Caenorhabditis elegans: one gene and its partners. The protein of the gene in region 1 interacts with the protein of each later gene in a pairwise test. Each region holds a gene or a part of one and is shown in the gene's direction. Other genes may lie near its edges.

Region 1 (3,894 bases):
ATGAGAAAATATATTTTTGGCGGTAAGAAAAGAGAGAGTTCCATTGATTATCGTTTTAGATGACCCACAAGTTCCAGAACTTTTTCATAAGTGGTGAACGAGACTCCGACTGCAATTGGTCCTTTCAGCCAATTCATGCTCAATCCTTTGTACAATCCTCGTTTCAAACCCTCTGAAAATTTGATGTTTTTGTATTGTTTGCTGTATAGTTTATTCTAGTAAAGCCCACTCAAATATTGTGAATTGTTCGGAGTTTTATGTGTAGCTATAAAAAATTACTTTAGAAATTCCAAAATCTTGTTTTAGAGGTGGACGGCGGCAATTATTGAAAAATCATAAATATTGCGCCATGTTCACCCCATATATTTTTTTTAGAAAATCGTAGTATAGAAAATCACTTAAATTATCCAAAAAGTTGATATTTGCCCAAAAACAAAGTTAGATAACTCGATAATCAGTAATTGACAACTTTCAGATCATTTTTAAGCACTTTCTCAAATTTTTCAACTGGAATTAATTTGATTTTCGGACACATCAAGTGATTTTCTATACTTTGACATTGAATTTCAATTAAAAAAATGTTGGAACAAGCAGGTTATTTTGTTTAATTGCAACCGCCCATTTCTGATAGAACTATATTGTCATTATAGTAAGGTTTAAAAAAAACTATAATTCAAAAAATAGTCATACCCGTATGATAAATATGAATTAGAGCTCTAAGAGGACTCCATCCACTCGGAATTCGCCCTGTTTGCATCCGCCTTCTCACAATATCGAGTGGATATGACGATGATTGACCGATCAAACCAGCTAACATTCCAAATAACATTCGGTAGTAGGAATTTTCCTGAATTATCATACATAATAACGTATAGAAATAATTTCTCAACTCACAACTTCACCTCTATGATCTCGATACATAATCTTAAGAGTTTCGTATGTGAAGAAGGAAGATCCAGCGTATGGTATTACTCCTGTAATCAACAAAAATCGATAAGAAAGATGTTTTTCATAAGAATTCCTACCTAGTATAGTTGGATAAATCCCTCTGTACAATAGTTGAATACCACCTTCTTTATATGTTTTTACAAAAACATGTTTCAAAGAACTATATTGTAATTTTGAAGAGACTGAAAGACGAGCTTTTGCGGTGTCTAAAGGATAAGTGATCATTGTAGCTGTTGTGGCGGCAAGAGAACCTGTTATATATCGTTTCACGGGTGTTCGACTTCTGGAAATTAACATTTTGAAGTTAAATTTGCCACCTCGGTGTGAAAAAAACTTTAAAACTCACCCATTTTCGTCAACTTTCAGCAATTTTTTATACTGCTCGAAGGCTGCGAATTGCATCGACGCGTATGGCACAACACGAGCCATCGTCGCAGAATTTCCACGATACAATGCAAAGAATCCATTTTCCCGATATGTTAGTTTTATGAATTTAATGGCAGATCGGAATGAGTAACCACGTGTACTTGAAACTGGAACATACAAAAAATTAGGTGTATTTTCGATTGTTTCGAAGTGACATAATTCTTACCTTGAAAATAAATTTTAGTTCGATCCAAAGGTGCGATTGTAGTTTTGGCTAAAGCTCCGGCGATCGCGCCTGCGGATAGTGACAAAACGACACTGGGCCTCTGTTTTCCCTGAAAATATGATTTTATGACAGAGATGTTCCAAAATTTATTTAAAATCTTACCTCATTTGAGTCGTGCGGCATGAAAATTGCAAAAAAATCACGAGTCTTTGCTGGTTTTTCTAGTTGGAATGATACAAAGTCAACGATTTATCTGCAAGATCATCATGTGTTATTGGATATAAATTCACATAATTAACATAACAAAACGATTCAAAAACGAAATTTCAAAGAATGTCTAGAGTATCATACTGGGAGCAAAGAATTTCAAGGTGAAGAGTAATGAAAAAAGTGATGTGTGATTTTTCTCTGGCGTCTCTTTATCTTCCTTACCGATTGTTTACACTTAAAATGTGACTGGCTAGTAGTTGATAGGCGAGCGTTCTTTGACGTCTGCGTCTTAACTAGTTTCTCATTGAGATGTTCGTTTTAGACGGTCAAAAATTATAGAAATGAACAAAATATTGTTGTTTTTTAGATTTTTACGATAAAGGCGTGAAAATTTTATAAATTTGATTCAGACGGACTAGTTTTCACACGTTGCAACCGCGCCCCATGGACAAACTGTTTCTAGGCCATCTGTACATTTTTTTTGTAATTTTGTTTTCAAACAATTTTTTCCAGTTTTCAATTCATTTTTTTTAATTTGCTCTTCGTCAATATTTAATTGTGTACTCTAAATTGGTTCAAAATTTAAATATAATTTCAGTTAAAATGGAAGACATCTGGCCAACAATCGAAAGAACAACAATTTCAGCATCTGTGCCCGAGGCTCCAGCGAACTTTGATGAAAAACCTCCGTTCAATCGAACAATCAACGTGTATCCGTTGACTAATTACACATTTGGTACTAAAGATGCACAAGCAGAAAAAGACAAATCAGTTCCAGAAAGGTTCAAACGAATGAAAGACGAATATGAAGTGGTAGGTGTTCTCTAATTGTCTCCAACCGATATCAATTATTTTTTTAGATGGGAATGCGTAGATCAGTTGAAGCGGTGCTTATTGTTCATGAGCACTCACTTCCACATATCCTACTCCTGCAGATTGGTACCACCTTTTATAAATTGTGAGATTAATTCCTATTAAAATCTGAAAGTTTCATAAAAAAATTGCAGGCCGGGTGGAGAATTGGAACTTGGTGAGGATGAGATATCTGGAGTCACACGTCTTCTAAACGAGACACTCGGAAGAACCGATGGGGAGACAAACGAATGGACAATCGAGGATGAGATAGGCAACTGGTGGCGACCAAACTTTGATCCTCCCCGTTACCCGTACATCCCTGCGCACGTGACAAAACCCAAGGAGCACACCAAGCTGTTGCTTGTTCAGTTGCCCTCAAAATGTAAGAGACTGAAAAATTGATAAGATCAAAATTTAAAGTGTCTTCGAATTTTTTCCCTAATTGAAACCTAAGCAGTTTAATGTTTTGTACATTTCAGCAACATTCTGCGTTCCCAAAAACTTCAAACTCGTCGCAGCTCCACTCTTTGAACTTTATGACAACGCAGCCGCCTATGGACCACTGATTTCCTCTCTTCCAACCACTCTTTCGAGATTTAATTTCATTTTCAATGACTCCAACTAAATATTTTTATTATCTGTTACTTTTTGTGTCTTCCTATTTTGTAAATGACCTTGTTCACTCTAATTTTGCTCCTACCAAATCTTCGATTTTGTTATGTATGATCTCTCAAATCGTTAGTATGAATTTAAAAATAAATTATTTCTTCATTTTCATTCGTTGTAATTTAATTCTTCCAACAACAAATATGATGAAACAAATTATGCAGATCGTGGCTTGTATACAAAACACTGTGAAGACGCTTGTTTCGATGGAAATTCTGAAAGAATATTTCATATTACGTAGAAGTTGAGAAAATACGCCATATCTTACGGTCTTGGGTCTCGCCACGCGGACAACCAGTTATTGTAATTGAATCTTGATATTCAAATTAAATGATAATTTCTGACATTATTTTTAAAAAAGTTGCTAGCGTGGTGAGACCCATGCGCGAGACTCATGCCTCTTTAATTTAAGCAGGAAATAAAATACAATAGAAAAGTAACTAAAGAAAACGTAACTAAAGAAGTAACTAAAGAAAGAAAACTAACTTACCTATCAAACTTCATATTGTTAATTCTTGATACGGACGTTGTTGTTTCAGTGTTTCAGATTGAATATAGCGAATTTTTCGTTCAAAATGGATGAACGGCTCACAAAACTTTCAATTCACATTTAGAAATACATT
Region 2 (3,514 bases), on another chromosome or scaffold:
TTGAATGAATTTCATAAACTATTTGTCTTATCAACAAAGCTTAATTTAGTTGCAAACTGTTTTTTTTAACCCAATAAGGTTGTGCAGAACGGCCAGCCACTATCGCACATAAAGCGACTTTGTGAGCTTATAGATTATTTTGAATCGGAAACTAAAGTAATCCTACATTGTAGTTTTCCTGCCATACCAACACAGTACTCCACTACAGTCCTCATATTTACATCCCCGCATATACTAATTATTAGCACTATACTGGCCAAACATTTGGAAAGTTAGAGTTTATAATAGGGATGACGTCACAGACTACAAACATCCAAACGCGAAATGACTATAAACTTGTCTCACCTGGATACACCATGTTCCACTAGGCCTCTCGAATTGTTTTCATCCAGTTGGACATGGAACTGGAAATTCAGAAGAATTGAAGGATTTTCTTTCGAGAAACTAACTATAAGATTTTGTTTGCAGTCAAAACAAGTTGAAACAGGAGTAGAAATGTTGTTATCTTGATATCTTGCGAATTAGTTTGAACTTTAAAAGCCTCCTCTCGATAAGATTTTAAAAAGTTACAAGTAGTAGTGACAGGTTCCATCGTAGTTGTGGTGGTCGTGGCTGAAAGTCGTGAAATATTGGAGTTCATGGGGTACGATTACTTTCAACTTGTTGCGTTGGTATACAAGCATTGATAAGTTCCTCTTGAAAGGAAAAGGAGAAGAACGGCAGTGTTCATGTTCTACGGCGGAAATTATTGTAAAAAATTGTATTTTGTTGGATTTCCAATAACTTACAGCATGCCAATAGAATCCTGTTTAATTTTCGCAAGTGGCTTTTTTTTTGAATTATTGAAACACGATCAGATGACAAGCGATTTGTAATTGCCTACAATTATTTTCGTTACTAAAATAGTCATGTAAAACTACCGTTGTTCTTCAGAATTTGTTCTAATTTGGTAATTTAATATTTTCAAGACTTTTGCAACCACACAAATTGTGCTAAATTATTTTTTTAGAAAGCCGAAAAGAGTTATAAGAAATTCAGTTCTAAATGAAAAACCTTGATGAATCTCTGTTAATACTAAAAAGTTAGCGAAATAGGCCAGAAGCCTGAAAAAGATTGCCGCATGCTTGCAAGTAAAAAGAAATTAGGATGCTTAACTCGGGACTTTTTAGGTCCCCTGAAAAGTAGATTCATATACCGTATTTTCTCTATTACTAAGGCATGCAATACTATTGTTTGGGCACCTATTTAGATGTAAGAAATAAAATAAAAATAGATGCCAACTGCAAAGTTGCTAGCAGTACAGTGAATAACAAGTGGCTAGTTGAAATTACTTTTCTGTTGTAGATGTATGCAGATATATCTTCATTAAATGTTGTATCACAGTTGTTTTGATTCACCATATCTTGTTAGTCAACTTACCACAGAGAAATGTCGTCGGCCAATAAAATATTATCCTTCTTATGGGGTTATTCAAGTAGTGTCGGAAAATTAAAAAGTGATCTTGCCAGTTAAAAAAAAATAACTTCAAGATAGAATTTTTAAAGTTTCAAGTTCCATTTTTTTAAACATAAACTGATGACAAAACTGAAAAGATTTTAATTTTTGAGACTTCAAATGTGCTTTTGATACTTTTCTTGTCCTCAAATATTTCTCCAAGTTCATTTTGTGTCACAAATTTTGTGTCTCGGTGTCGTCTGCGTCTCGTCTTTGTGTATTTCGTTGACACAACGGAGTATAAATATTGGTGAAAGAATCATTGAAAAAAGTTAACAATTTCAAACTCTGAGCAAATGACTCGTTTTGCTGAAAAAGTCGCTATTATCACTGGTAAGACTTATAATTTTAATAATATAAAATACATTTAAATATTGATGGTTTTTAGGTTCTTCCAATGGAATTGGTCGAGCAACTGCTGTTCTCTTTGCACGAGAAGGAGCCAAAGTAACTATCACAGGACGTCATGCAGAAAGACTTGAAGAAACTAGACAACAGATTTTGGCAGCTGGAGTTTCCGAGCAAAATGTGAATTCAGTTGTTGCTGATGTTACTACTGATGCTGGTCAAGATGAGATTCTCAGCACAACTTTGGGAAAATTCGGAAAACTTGACATTTTGGTGTGTAAATTTAGTCAATGTTTTTTTCCCCAATAATTTAATTCAATTGTGAACTTTAGGTTAACAATGCTGGTGCCGCGATCCCAGACTCCCAAAGTAAAACTGGAACTGCTCAAAGTATTGAAAGCTACGATGCTACTTTGAATCTTAATTTGAGAAGTGTGATTGCACTGACAAAGAAGGCTGTTCCACATTTGTCTTCTACCAAGGGAGAAATTGTCAATATTTCTAGCATTGCTTCTGGACTTCATGCTGTAAGTTTTAAAATTATAACATTAAAAGTTTCATTGATGCCTTTTTAAGACACCAGACTTCCCATATTACTCAATTGCAAAAGCAGCCATTGATCAATATACTCGTAATACAGCAATTGATCTTATTCAACACGGGATTCGTGTTAACTCAATTAGTCCAGGACTCGTTGCAACTGGATTTGGTTCAGCAATGGGAATGCCAGAAGAAACATCAAAGAAATTCTATTCGACCATGGCTACGATGAAGGAATGTGTCCCAGCAGGAGTAATGGGACAACCACAGGATATTGCTGAAGTCATTGCTTTTTTGGCCGATAGGAAGACATCATCATACATCATTGGACATCAACTTGTAGTTGATGGTGGAAGTTCTCTTATTATGGGACTTCATTGCCAAGACTTTGCAAAACTTTTACATTAATTGTTTCAGTTATCTGTTGTTTTATTAATCAATAAACTAGCTTTTAAAATTTTGCGAATACGACAAAAATCGTCTTGATGTCACGATTGAAATTAAACTTCTAAATTCAAAACCAATCTACTTCTGTTTCGAACAAAATGAAAAATATTCTATGTCGATAAAAATTGTATATGACAACTTGAATGTTGAGCAACTGAATTCTCTTTTACTTGAATGAGCTAAACTTTTAGAAATTGCGCAAAAAATTATTTATGACAGTAAAAAATTTTGAGAAGATGTCTAAATTTCGCTAAATATACATCTTTTACACTACTTTTGAAATATTTTACTTGTTTATTTTTCGTTTTTAAGTATAAGAACAAAACTTAATGATAAAATTCGGTTTTCTGGGTTCATTTTTCAACAGTAAACATATTTTTAAAAAATTTTGAAGATGTTTATCTTTAAGCCTTTTTTAAAAATAATTTTCAATATTTCAAAGATATATTTATTTGGTCATTGTTTCAAGAGAAAAAAAACAGGAAAATGTGTACAATGTGTACGTACTGGCAGATTGCTTGACTTGCAATCTTTGGCTAGAAAAAGTGGATTTTGAGCGAATTTAGAAATGATTTCAAATGGAATGAAATTTATGGCCTTGAGCCGACCATTTGTTGTTGAACTTGTTGAATTTGTTGTTGTGTCTTTTGATCGGCAGCATCAGCAACTGCTTTCTCAAAGAGTC
Region 3 (6,522 bases), on another chromosome or scaffold:
GCTCTCTCGACAATTCAATCGATTGAAAAATGAAGATTTTCAAAATAAAACTATTATTGGAGCTGGTACGAAAGAACAAGTCAGAGTAAGTACCCCTTAAAGATCTAAAACAAATGAAAAGAACAAGTCAGAGTAAGTACCCCTTAAATATCTAAAACAAATGAAAAATCTTAATAAAAATTATTCCAGAAAGCCGATCGTGTACGTCGTACTCGATACAACGAGCTCATCAAACGCGTGGAACGTGCCAAGGAGCTTCAAGTGGTCGTGGACAAGCTGGAATTGAAGAAACAATTGGCAGCTGGAAGCAAATCAGAATTGAAGCCTCAAAAGGTCAAAAAGGCGAAAGCTATGCGAGCAGCCGTCTACAAATGGACCTATGAACGAAAGAAGTAGTTAATTTCTTTTTTTTTAATCCCATTTTATTCTGAATCTTCTTTTTTGTTAATTTTTGCTGTTGAGTTTACATTTTATGCGTTATTGAAATTGTTGACTTTATTGAAACATTGAATTTAAAGAGATCTCTGTCGTTGTCACTGGAAACGGGACCATCGTCTCTCTCGTCAAATCAATCGTCTTTAAAACAAGCGGAGTCAGTGAAGAGGTCTGAGTGAAGATGAGCACGGCACACATGTTGGAATCGCAGCAACAATCTTTTTGCTGATACAATATCTTGTGTTGCACTAGCATCGATCGCAGTTCGCATTTTGGCATCACTGACACAGGTTGTTGACACTTTTGAACATCTGGGAATGGATGAGACATGATGAAGACGGAATCGAATTGACTGAATTTTTCAGGGTCCTAAACAGATAACTGGATTTTCAGAATTTTGTTGAAAAGGATACCGTATCCTTGACACATCCACTGTATATTCTTCCTGGCACCAGTGCCACCACATCAGTCATATTCATAGAATGACATGGATAATTCTCTGGATCATTTAGAAATTTTACTGCATTTGATGATCGAGAAAATATTGATCCAGTATATGGAAGACTTGTCGTGTTCTGTTCCCTATACACTGCTAACAAACCACACAGAAAACGAGGAAATAAATCTGGAAGATCTAGAAACGAGTGGTGTTCTAGACAAGTCTTGACCAGTTCTGATAGGCTCTGAAACTCTTTTCTAGACTTGAAAAATGACTTATTAAGCTCACAATTTTATCTTCAAGTTCTCGAATTGTCCAATCGGGTTCATATTTCTTTTTATCTTCTAGATAATTTAGAAACTTAATTTCCGTCGCATTCGTCTTCACTTCAGCTAACGGATTCATCAAAATATGAGCAATTGATTCATTAAGGAATGGCTGGAGCAGCCTGTTTGGAATTATCGGCTTTTCGAGCAACGCCTTTTCCTTCAGAATTTTAGGCATATGTTTGAGATGAATTATGTCGCATTTTATTGAATTTGCCAGAAAAGAGACGAAAAAGCAGAAAACTTGAAAAACCAGCATCGTTTTGATTGTAGAAATGAATTAAATAATTAATATTTATTGAAGCATAACAAATTAATTTTTTAAAAATATTGTTTTCTATTATTTTATTTGAAATGTTCAGAATAGTCGTTAAGTTTTTGAAAACTAATAAAATTCGATTTCTAGACGTGAAATTTTTCGAAGAGATCACAATGCAAGCGCGCTCTATTGTTACAACGCATGTGGCGCCACGATTTGAACTTTTGTACCGCCACGGATGTGTTTTCTCGAATTTTCTGGCCTAAAATTTATTTATTTTCATTTCATTTCTCTCCTTGCGTTTTTTCTCATTTTACTTGAAAATCTCAATCAGGACGGTAAAGCTTTTGTTTCATTTACTTTTTCTTAGTAAATTTCACTGTTTTATCTCAATTACATCTGAAATTCGCATCGTTTTTTCGTTTCATCGTTTCTTATTTCAGTCAAACATGGCCGACTTGCTCGACAAAATTATGGGAAGTTCGTCTTCCAACAGGATTCCCAAACGAGACAACCGAATGAATCAGGACAAGGACGAACCGACGTCAAAGAGAAGTGGTTCGTTTAGAATCAACATTATGCCTAGGAGTTCAAAATTGTCTTTTTCAGCACCAATGTTCTCTACTCCGAAGTCAACAACACCAATTGGACGGGACTCTTTCGCAACGATGGACACGATGAATGTTCAGATGAACATGTTTCCAGTGGACATCAAGGATATGCCCCACAAGATCCAACGCTTTCAAGTTGACGTCATCGTCTGTTCCAGCAACGGAAAACAGATCAATGCCAACCTTGGAGTTTTGGCGGCCAAGGGAGAGTAAGTATTTAATTTGTATAACCGCTCAAAATCAGTACTTTCCAGTGTCAATTCCCATAACCGTCGCTTGGCACAATACTACATCATGAGAACAGTACATGACAAGCTTCTGGTGAAGTTCAGTGGAAAGAGTCACCACTTCCTTGCTTACGACTGCGCTGCGACTCTCTATCTTCCGGAGGGAGTCTACACTGGTGACGATCAAGAAGAAGTCACGTTGACGATCGATGACTTCCCGAAGGAAGAATGGAAATTCGTGTCGAAGTTGTCTCGCAGAAAGGACGATTCTTACCTTGTTGTTCTCAAACCTGCCGGATTTGTGTACACCCAAGGAGAAGTTGCCCAGGAGGAGGCTAATCGTATGGAGTTGACTCGTATTATCGAAATCGTCACTTCACAAAAGCTCAACAATGAGGATTACTTACAATTTGGTAATGCCACATTCCCACGTCTTTCTCCGCCACACTCGGAACCTGATGCTATTTCGGAGATCCGCTCAGGTTTTGCGAAAGTATCTCGTCTATCGCAAAACGGAGGTGGCAAAGCTTTCATGACGGTTGATACGAAGATTTCTCCATTTTACAAGGATACATCAGTTATCAAGTTTTCAAGCAACAAGTTATCCGAAATGAAAGGTGGAGGCGGTGGAAGAGGCGGATACGGAAGAAGTGACTCGCGAGACTCTCGTGGTGGATACCGTGGCGGCCGTTCCGACTCGAGAGACTTTCGTGGTGTCTATGGAAACCGAGGTGGCAACGACAGGTACCGAGATGAAAGCAGAGGACGTCGCGACATGTACGATTCCCGTCGAGACAGTGGTTCTTCAAATGGAGCGGACTACTCTCCGAGTGATGCTGCTGAGTTGGAACACGCTTTTGGCGAAAGAGGAAACACGAAGCGATGCATTGAAGAAGCACTCAAAGGATTGGACGTGGAATGCACTCACTTGAAGGGTAACCTTATTCGCGTATCCTCGATTGCCGAGAACAATGCTGAGAAGTAAGTTATTCGATAGTTATCATCAGCGTGATAACAATTTGTTTTGTAGCACTTCGTTCATGATGAAGGACGACAAGGGAGAACGCGAGGTCACCGTGGCGGAATATTTCCTGTTGCAGTACAACATCAAGCTGAAATATCCGAGACTTCCTCTCGTCGTCTCAAAAAGATTCAAACATGAATCTTTCTTCCCAATGGAGTTGCTTCGAATTGCTCCAGGCCAGCGGATCAAGGTCAACAAGATGAGCCCGACAGTACAATCGGCGATGACAGGAAGAAATGCGTCTATGCCACAGCATCATGTGAAGTTGGTTCAAGATATTCTCCGCGACAACTTGAAGCTTGAACAAAATAAGTACATGGATGCTTTCGGAATCAAACTGATGTCGACTGAGCCAATCCAAATGACTGCGAAGCTCCTCCCACCAGCTCAAATCAAGTTCAAGGGCCAGACTTACATGCCTGACATGAGCCGTCCAGCGTTCCGCACACAGGACAAGTTTGTCGAACCAGCACGGATCAGAAAAATTGGTATTGTTGTCTTTGACAACTGTATCCAAATGAGACAGGCCGAGTAAGTCGAACGTTGTTTTCTTCTGCTTTATAATATTCTATTTTCAGAGATTTCTGCGACAAGCTGTCCAATTTCTGTCGTGACAATGGAATCACGGTCGAAAAGGACTCGCGAGATTGGTCCATCCGTGAATTGAACTCCAGTGATTCCGTTGCTATCCAAAATCTGATGAAGAAATGGCTCGATGATAGAGTGGACATTCTTGTTGGAATAGCAAGGGAGAAGAAGCCGGATGTTCACGACATACTCAAATACTTTGAGGAATCGATTGGCCTGCAAACAATCCAATTGTGTCAACAGACTGTCGATAAAATGATGGGAGGTCAAGGTGGACGCCAAACGATTGACAACGTCATGAGAAAGTTCAACCTCAAGTGTGGTGGAACCAACTTCTTCGTCGAGATCCCGAATGCTGTGCGTGGAAAAGCAGTGTGCTCAAACAATGAAACATTGAGAAAGAAACTTCTCGAACATGTACAATTCATCGGATTCGAGATTTCTCATGGCGCATCACGCACTTTGTTCGATCGCAGTAGATCACAAATGGATGGTGAGCCATCAGTTGTTGGAGTCTCGTATTCCCTGACCAACTCGACGCAGCTCGGAGGCTTCACATACCTTCAAACCCAAAAGGAGTACAAACTTCAAAAACTTGATGAATTCTTCCCAAAGTGTGTCAGATCGTACAAGGAGCATTCGAAGACACTCCCAACAAGAATCGTCATCTATCGTGTTGGTGCTGGAGAAGGAAACTTCAATCGTGTTAAGGAAGAAGTCGAAGAGATGCGACGAACATTTGACAAGATTCAGCCCGGATACCGTCCACATCTCGTGGTGATCATCGCACAAAGAGCTTCACATGCTCGCGTTTTTCCATCATGTATCAGTGGCAACAGAGCGACGGATCAGAACATCCCATCTGGAACATGTGTCGAGAATGTCCTGACATCCTACGGATACGACGAGTTCATTTTGTCTTCACAGACGCCGCTTATTGTAAGTTGTTCATTAGTTAATTTATTAAATGAAAGTTTCTTTTAGGGTACCGTTCGTCCGTGCAAGTACACGATCCTTGTCAATGATGCCAAATGGTCTAAAAACGAGCTCATGCACTTGACGTACTTCCGCGCATTCGGTCATCAAGTGTCCTACCAGCCACCATCGGTTCCAGATGTTCTTTATGCGGCAGAAAATCTGGCTAAACGAGGACGCAACAATTACAAAATTCATCAGTAATAGTTTATTTTCCTAAAAATCTTTATCAAAAACAAATGTTTCCAGGCGTTACGTGAATTTGCAAGCAGTTGAGAACCGCATCATCAAAGACCATTCGGAACTCATCAACGAAGACATGCGAGAAGAACTGGCGGCAGCCATTGTTGATGAGATGTCCGTTGCAATGAACGGAATGACCATTCCGAAGCGAAACTTCTGGGCGTAATCCCGAGATTCTCTCTTTTATTGTCACGTATTCACCCCCTTTACATATTACCAACATTTTTTATCCACTACCCTATACCTACTCTCTATACAAGTACTTAAATTCCCATGCTTTTGTTTTTCTGAACATTCTTTATTACATTTTTCCCCATAATTGTATCGTATTCCCCTTTATGTTTTTATAATTTCAACTAAGAATCCTTTTGTAATTTAATCTAGAGTAGAGTACATTGACACATAGTTTGAATAGTAGATACTCCTGTTTTACCTGCCTTTTTTTCTGTGCGAATTTCCTCCAACTTTCTTATTAGGAGTTTTCGAAGGCGAAAGAAACTTCCAATTAGAACGTTTTTGGAAATTTCGATTTTCAATAATCTTACTTGCTCTACCCCCCGTCCATTATCATTTATTAAGCAATAAATTATTCGAGAAGAAATTTTAGTTTTCGCTGAAAGCAGTTTGATCGCGATCATTTTTCCGATTTTTGCATAATCACAAAACAAAACTTTTTTAAAATTAAATAGCTTGCAATTTTGACCAGTAAATGTGAAAGTAAACTTTGTTGTAAATTGTTAAGTATGTTGAACAATTGTAAAGGAAAACATGATTTACGCAGAATATTACATTGCACGTTATAAAAAAAAGAATCGACACATTAATAAATACAGAAGAGTATCATTGAATTTTAACACACAGTTAGGCGTCTAGCGAATCGGACTACGTTGGCGTTGACGATGATCGAAACGGTCTCCCTGCTCCCGGTTATTGAAACGACGTCCTTGACTTGGCAAGGAAATCGCGACGTCGACGAAATCACCGACTTCGAATTTGCATTGTTGTAGCTGAAAAACAAAGTTCAATCAAAACGAATTTAATATTGGAGATATTATTTCCGAATTCAAATAAAATTCTAATGGTTCCGTGGTGTCAAAAATCACATACAGTTTTGTTGTCATCAATGCCACGCTCTCCATTCGTCGTGTTTCCCACATCGCGTAGAATGTATCTTGGCGAGCCGCGGTCTGCCTGCACAATAGCGAAATCGAATGTGGTGCCCTTTCTTCTAGCGTCCGGATTCACTTCTTTGATTAGACTGGTCAATTCACGCAGAGAACAGTCCATCCTGAAAATAAAAAAAATACTTCAGGTTAACCAAACTTACAAGTTTGAATGTATTATTGAAAATATTAGACAAAAGTTCTATAATTTCGGCCAAATAGTACTAATTTT
Region 4 (3,695 bases), 3.0 Mb from region 1:
CCAACAATGATATATCTTGTCCTTTGTTTTTTGGAGCTGTCAATGCTTTTGTTACTAAACGATAGTCGTTTGTTCTGATGTTAAAACTTCGGACGGCGATATTTGTTTTTACTTCAGCCATTCCTTCTTCCCAGATGCTTGATAATCCTTCGAAACATGGCTGAAAATTAATTGAATTTTTGTTAGCTGATACTACAGCTGATAAGCCATGGTTTAAACCAATCTATCTCTACCACAACTTACAATTTCGATGACAATACTCTTAATTTTTGAGAATCTCCAAATACGTAAAAACGCTCGCATAGCTTCTGCAGTATGATCGGGGCATTCAGTTTGACGTCTGAACATTTATTAAGACTTTGAATTTTCTCTTTTAATTTGAAGTTTTGAACAAAGAATACTCACAGTGAGGTTCCTCGAAACTCCACCATTCTGCTCACAACTCTTCCAATCTCATTTTTCCATTTCATTATCAGAATAGTTTTCTGAAAATAACTGGGTTGAATAAACAAAGTAATTCAATTAAAACTAACAGCTGTAGAGGGAAGCTCCGTAATTCCGAGTTCGTGAAGCTTATTTGGAAGAGTTGAGCATATCTGAGAGTTTTCCCAGCTGACCAACATCATGTTTTGTTTATCCTGCAAACGGATTTTTTCTTTATCTAACTGATTTGATGGAAATTTGAGCAAAATGATTTCGCAACACTTACTGGGAATGGTAGTCGAGTGAGAATATTTCTGCGTATTTCTCGTGGCAAGTGCTTCCATCCAGCCTCTTCTTCTATAATTTGGCAATTTCAGATTTATCTTCATTATTAAGCATTAACTAACCCTCGAAATCCATTATTTCTTCCAGTGCCATTTTGAGTAGAATGGAACAGCGGAAAGAGAAGAAAATCGGCAGAAAAAACGGGAACCTCACGCCCAGAGGCAAGAGACCCAGAGATGTAAAGAGAGGCCGTTTGAGAAAGAATATCAATGGCGCAGGTCGATCAGAGACATGAAAATAACACAATATAAAATGAGGATGCACAGAAAAGACGTGGAGGATAGAAAATGAAGTTGGAGAGAATGGACGATTTGAAAATCAATTTTTTGAGAGTACTGTGCGAGTATTATGACGTCAATTTCTGGAAAGGGCAGAGTACATTAGTTTTTAGAAAGCATGAACAACATCACGGAGAACATTAACTAAAGTCACCATTAAAAAAACAAAATTGGAAATAGAAATTCCGAATTCGTTTGAACATTTATAATGAACACTCGTTGTACTAATTGGAGGCAGGATTAAACACATTTAGATTGTCACACGGGGCCTAAAGCGTTTTTATATTCTTAAAGTAATCTCTTAATGTATAAAAAAGAGACATTTCCCTTAAATTGGAAAGTTAAGGAGTGTCACAATAGGAAACAACTGGAAAACAATTGAGAAAATCTAAACTTTAGAACTTAATTCCATTTTTTCTATCTCAATTCCGTAACTTTCAAAAAATCATAATACGCTTTACGAGGGAATGTTAAATAATGAAATATTTTAGAATTTCAGTGATTATTATAAACTATTTAATACCAACAATACTATCCATATCAATCAGTTAAACAATCGTTTAAAAATTCAAGACAGTGATGACAAAATGATAGAAAATAGTAAAATAGCATATTGCAAAACAATCTGATACAAATTTGACGAAAAGAATCCAAAAATTGTTTAGGAATTTCCTAACCATGCATTGCGTTTGAAACACCGCGCGAAGTTAGATGTGCAGGTTACCGGGTTACTGTAGTACGGGACCCATTAGCTTCGCAGATGCGCGGCCCAAAACATTCATTTCGATTTTGCAGCTTGAAGTTCACGCGCCGTGAGCTGTTTTTCTCATTTCTAAATTTTTTTGCTGCTGATTTTCGACTTTAGTTTTGGTTACGTTTTTGAGCATGAGCACATAGCTTCTGTTAAATATTCTTTTTAATCTTTACCCAATTTTTGTTTAATGACTTATTAAAAGTTACCCTCTTACAGTCAACCTCACTTGCTTCAACCAAATTTACGACTATGTCGGACACCGCAAACGCCGCTGTCGAAATCGGAGAGGAAGCTCTCGAGCAGAAGCTCGAAGAGCTCTCTGTTCAAGATAAGACAACGCCAAGCAACAGCGAAGAGAAGATGCGTAAAAGAGTATGTTACACATTTAAATTAATTTAGTAATTACTTAATTTAGCGTCTGCCGACTGCTGAGCGCATCCGTCTGTGGGAAGAAGAGCAGAAGTCGAAGACAGCCATTACCACCGGACTTCAAGGAAAAGTGAAATGGTATTCTGTTCTCCGTCGCTATGGCTTCATTTCTCGCAACGATGGCGAAAAGGACATCTTTGTTCACCAGACAGCCATTGCCAAGTCAGCCACTGAAAAGTTCTACCTCCGTACCCTCGGGGACGATGAAGAGGTTCTCTTCGATCTCGTCGAGGGAAAGAATGGCCCAGAAGCTGCTAACGTAACAGGACCCAACGGAGACAATGTCATTGGATCGAGGTGAGGGTTTATATTGACCATGGAAGTTTTTAAATCCTATTTTACAGATACCGCCACAAGCTTCTCTCTCGCTTCCGCAAGAACCGCAAGCCCAGAGCTTCTGTCGATGGAGAGGAATCCCAGTCGACCGATGCCAAGCCACAGGAGATGTCGGCGGATGCTGAGAAGAAAAAGCCAAGAAAGCAACGCAAGAACAGAAATCGCAAGTCGAAGGCCCAACAGAAAGGAGCTGGTGATGCCGCTGATTCATCGGCTGTCACTGAATCTTCCGAATCTGCTTCTGACGTTGCTTCTCCAGACTCCAAATCTTGTTCCAAGATCATCACAGAGGAAGCTGGACTTTCCAAGGTTGACCGTTGCGACTCTGCACTTGGAGAAGCCGGCCTAGGAGCCCAGCCAATCGATGCTCAGATTTAAGATCCATTAATGCTTATTTCTCAAATTTGTACCTTTGTACATATACATAGTACACTTTATCATATTCCCAATTTATGCATGCTATTGTAAGTCCCTATCCCTCTTGTTCTTCAATGCCACATTGCCTCAGCTTGTAATGAGAAAACCTCTCAATAAAACCGTTTACCGGTAAATTGAATGTTTATTTCATAACAATGACTCATCATATCAGCTTCTCAAATCTTATCAGTGAGATATCTCTGATGAAAATAGGTCACCAATTCTTATTCGGCATATTGATTAGTTTCGTACAATGATTCGCATAGGACGACTGTTTTTATTCTGTTCTTTTATTTTGCACATTGCGGCAGAAAGGTGAACGAATCATGAGCAATAGTGAGAAATACAATTTCGTCTATTCAGATGTCCGCCTGTTTTCGGTGAGTATGAGTGCCCAGTTGGATTTACTTGTGAAGAGAAGCAATGCTTTGGTAGGAACAAATCCCCATCTACATTCTGTTCATTCGAGGTTTTCAAGTTTTGATGAATATTTTCAAAACGTTTAGTTTAGGTAGAATGTCGAGAGGGATTCGTTTGTTCTGAAGGAAAATGTTATCCAATCACTTCAGTGAAATGCAATCGGTACAGTTAATTTCTGAATAAGGAATGATAACAACTTGTCAGAGCAAATAAAACACAATTTTCAGACACGTATTGGTAGCTGAAGGTTCAGCTCGAAGCATAGTCTCCGATTGTGGAAAACATGGAAAATG

Evidence for each region.
Region 2: the proteins of cfim-1 (region 1) and D1054.8 interact in a two-hybrid assay, tested with the Caenorhabditis elegans proteins (one large-scale study listed by BioGRID).
Region 3: the proteins of cfim-1 (region 1) and hrde-1 interact in a two-hybrid assay, tested with the Caenorhabditis elegans proteins (one large-scale study listed by BioGRID).
Region 4: the proteins of cfim-1 (region 1) and cey-2 interact in a two-hybrid assay, tested with the Caenorhabditis elegans proteins (one large-scale study listed by BioGRID).

Annotation. Positions count from the first base shown.
Region 1 is NC_003279.8:8,613,040-8,616,933, forward strand, and holds cfim-1 (Cleavage and polyadenylation specificity factor subunit 5), read left to right. Parts: upstream 1-2,348; 5' UTR 2,349-2,353; coding exon 2,354-2,563; intron 2,564-2,610; coding exon 2,611-2,708; intron 2,709-2,757; coding exon 2,758-2,987; intron 2,988-3,084; coding exon 3,085-3,230; 3' UTR 3,231-3,365; downstream 3,366-3,894. Other genes in the region: slc-25A42 (Mitochondrial coenzyme A transporter SLC25A42), read right to left, coding at 48-172, 691-847, 895-974, 1,026-1,231, 1,295-1,481, 1,541-1,649, 1,703-1,723; F43G9.21 (uncharacterized protein), read right to left, coding at 3,366-3,486, 3,762-3,775.
Region 2 is NC_003283.11:10,782,533-10,786,046, forward strand, and holds D1054.8 (DeHydrogenases, Short chain), read left to right. Parts: upstream 1-1,778; 5' UTR 1,779-1,790; coding exon 1,791-1,827; intron 1,828-1,882; coding exon 1,883-2,115; intron 2,116-2,174; coding exon 2,175-2,369; intron 2,370-2,418; coding exon 2,419-2,790; 3' UTR 2,791-2,835; downstream 2,836-3,514. Other genes in the region: D1054.9 (Prion-like-(Q/N-rich)-domain-bearing protein), read right to left, coding at 3,420-3,514.
Region 3 is NC_003281.10:4,171,540-4,178,061, reverse strand, and holds hrde-1 (Argonaute protein hrde-1), read left to right. Parts: upstream 1-1,902; 5' UTR 1,903-1,908; coding exon 1,909-2,017; intron 2,018-2,068; coding exon 2,069-2,279; intron 2,280-2,324; coding exon 2,325-3,278; intron 3,279-3,327; coding exon 3,328-3,852; intron 3,853-3,899; coding exon 3,900-4,848; intron 4,849-4,893; coding exon 4,894-5,084; intron 5,085-5,133; coding exon 5,134-5,293; 3' UTR 5,294-5,725; downstream 5,726-6,522. Other genes in the region: utp-11 (putative U3 small nucleolar RNA-associated protein 11), read left to right, coding at 1-85, 190-396; C16C10.13 (Rab3 GTPase-activating protein catalytic subunit), read right to left, coding at 496-804, 849-1,118, 1,163-1,279; C16C10.4 (putative histone deacetylase complex subunit SAP18), read right to left, coding at 5,997-6,134, 6,235-6,415. UniProt on the Caenorhabditis elegans protein: Argonaute protein which is involved in the endogenous small interfering RNA (endo-siRNA) pathway and is required for RNA-mediated gene silencing (RNAi) in the germline.
Region 4 is NC_003279.8:5,617,553-5,621,247, forward strand, and holds cey-2 (CSD domain-containing protein), read left to right. Parts: upstream 1-2,016; 5' UTR 2,017-2,049; coding exon 2,050-2,172; intron 2,173-2,215; coding exon 2,216-2,526; intron 2,527-2,573; coding exon 2,574-2,943; 3' UTR 2,944-3,116; downstream 3,117-3,695. Other genes in the region: xrep-4 (F-box domain-containing protein), read right to left, coding at 1-160, 244-340, 406-485, 534-638, 710-780, 831-861; F46F11.7 (Tenascin), read left to right, coding at 3,236-3,297, 3,346-3,451, 3,494-3,564, 3,630-3,695.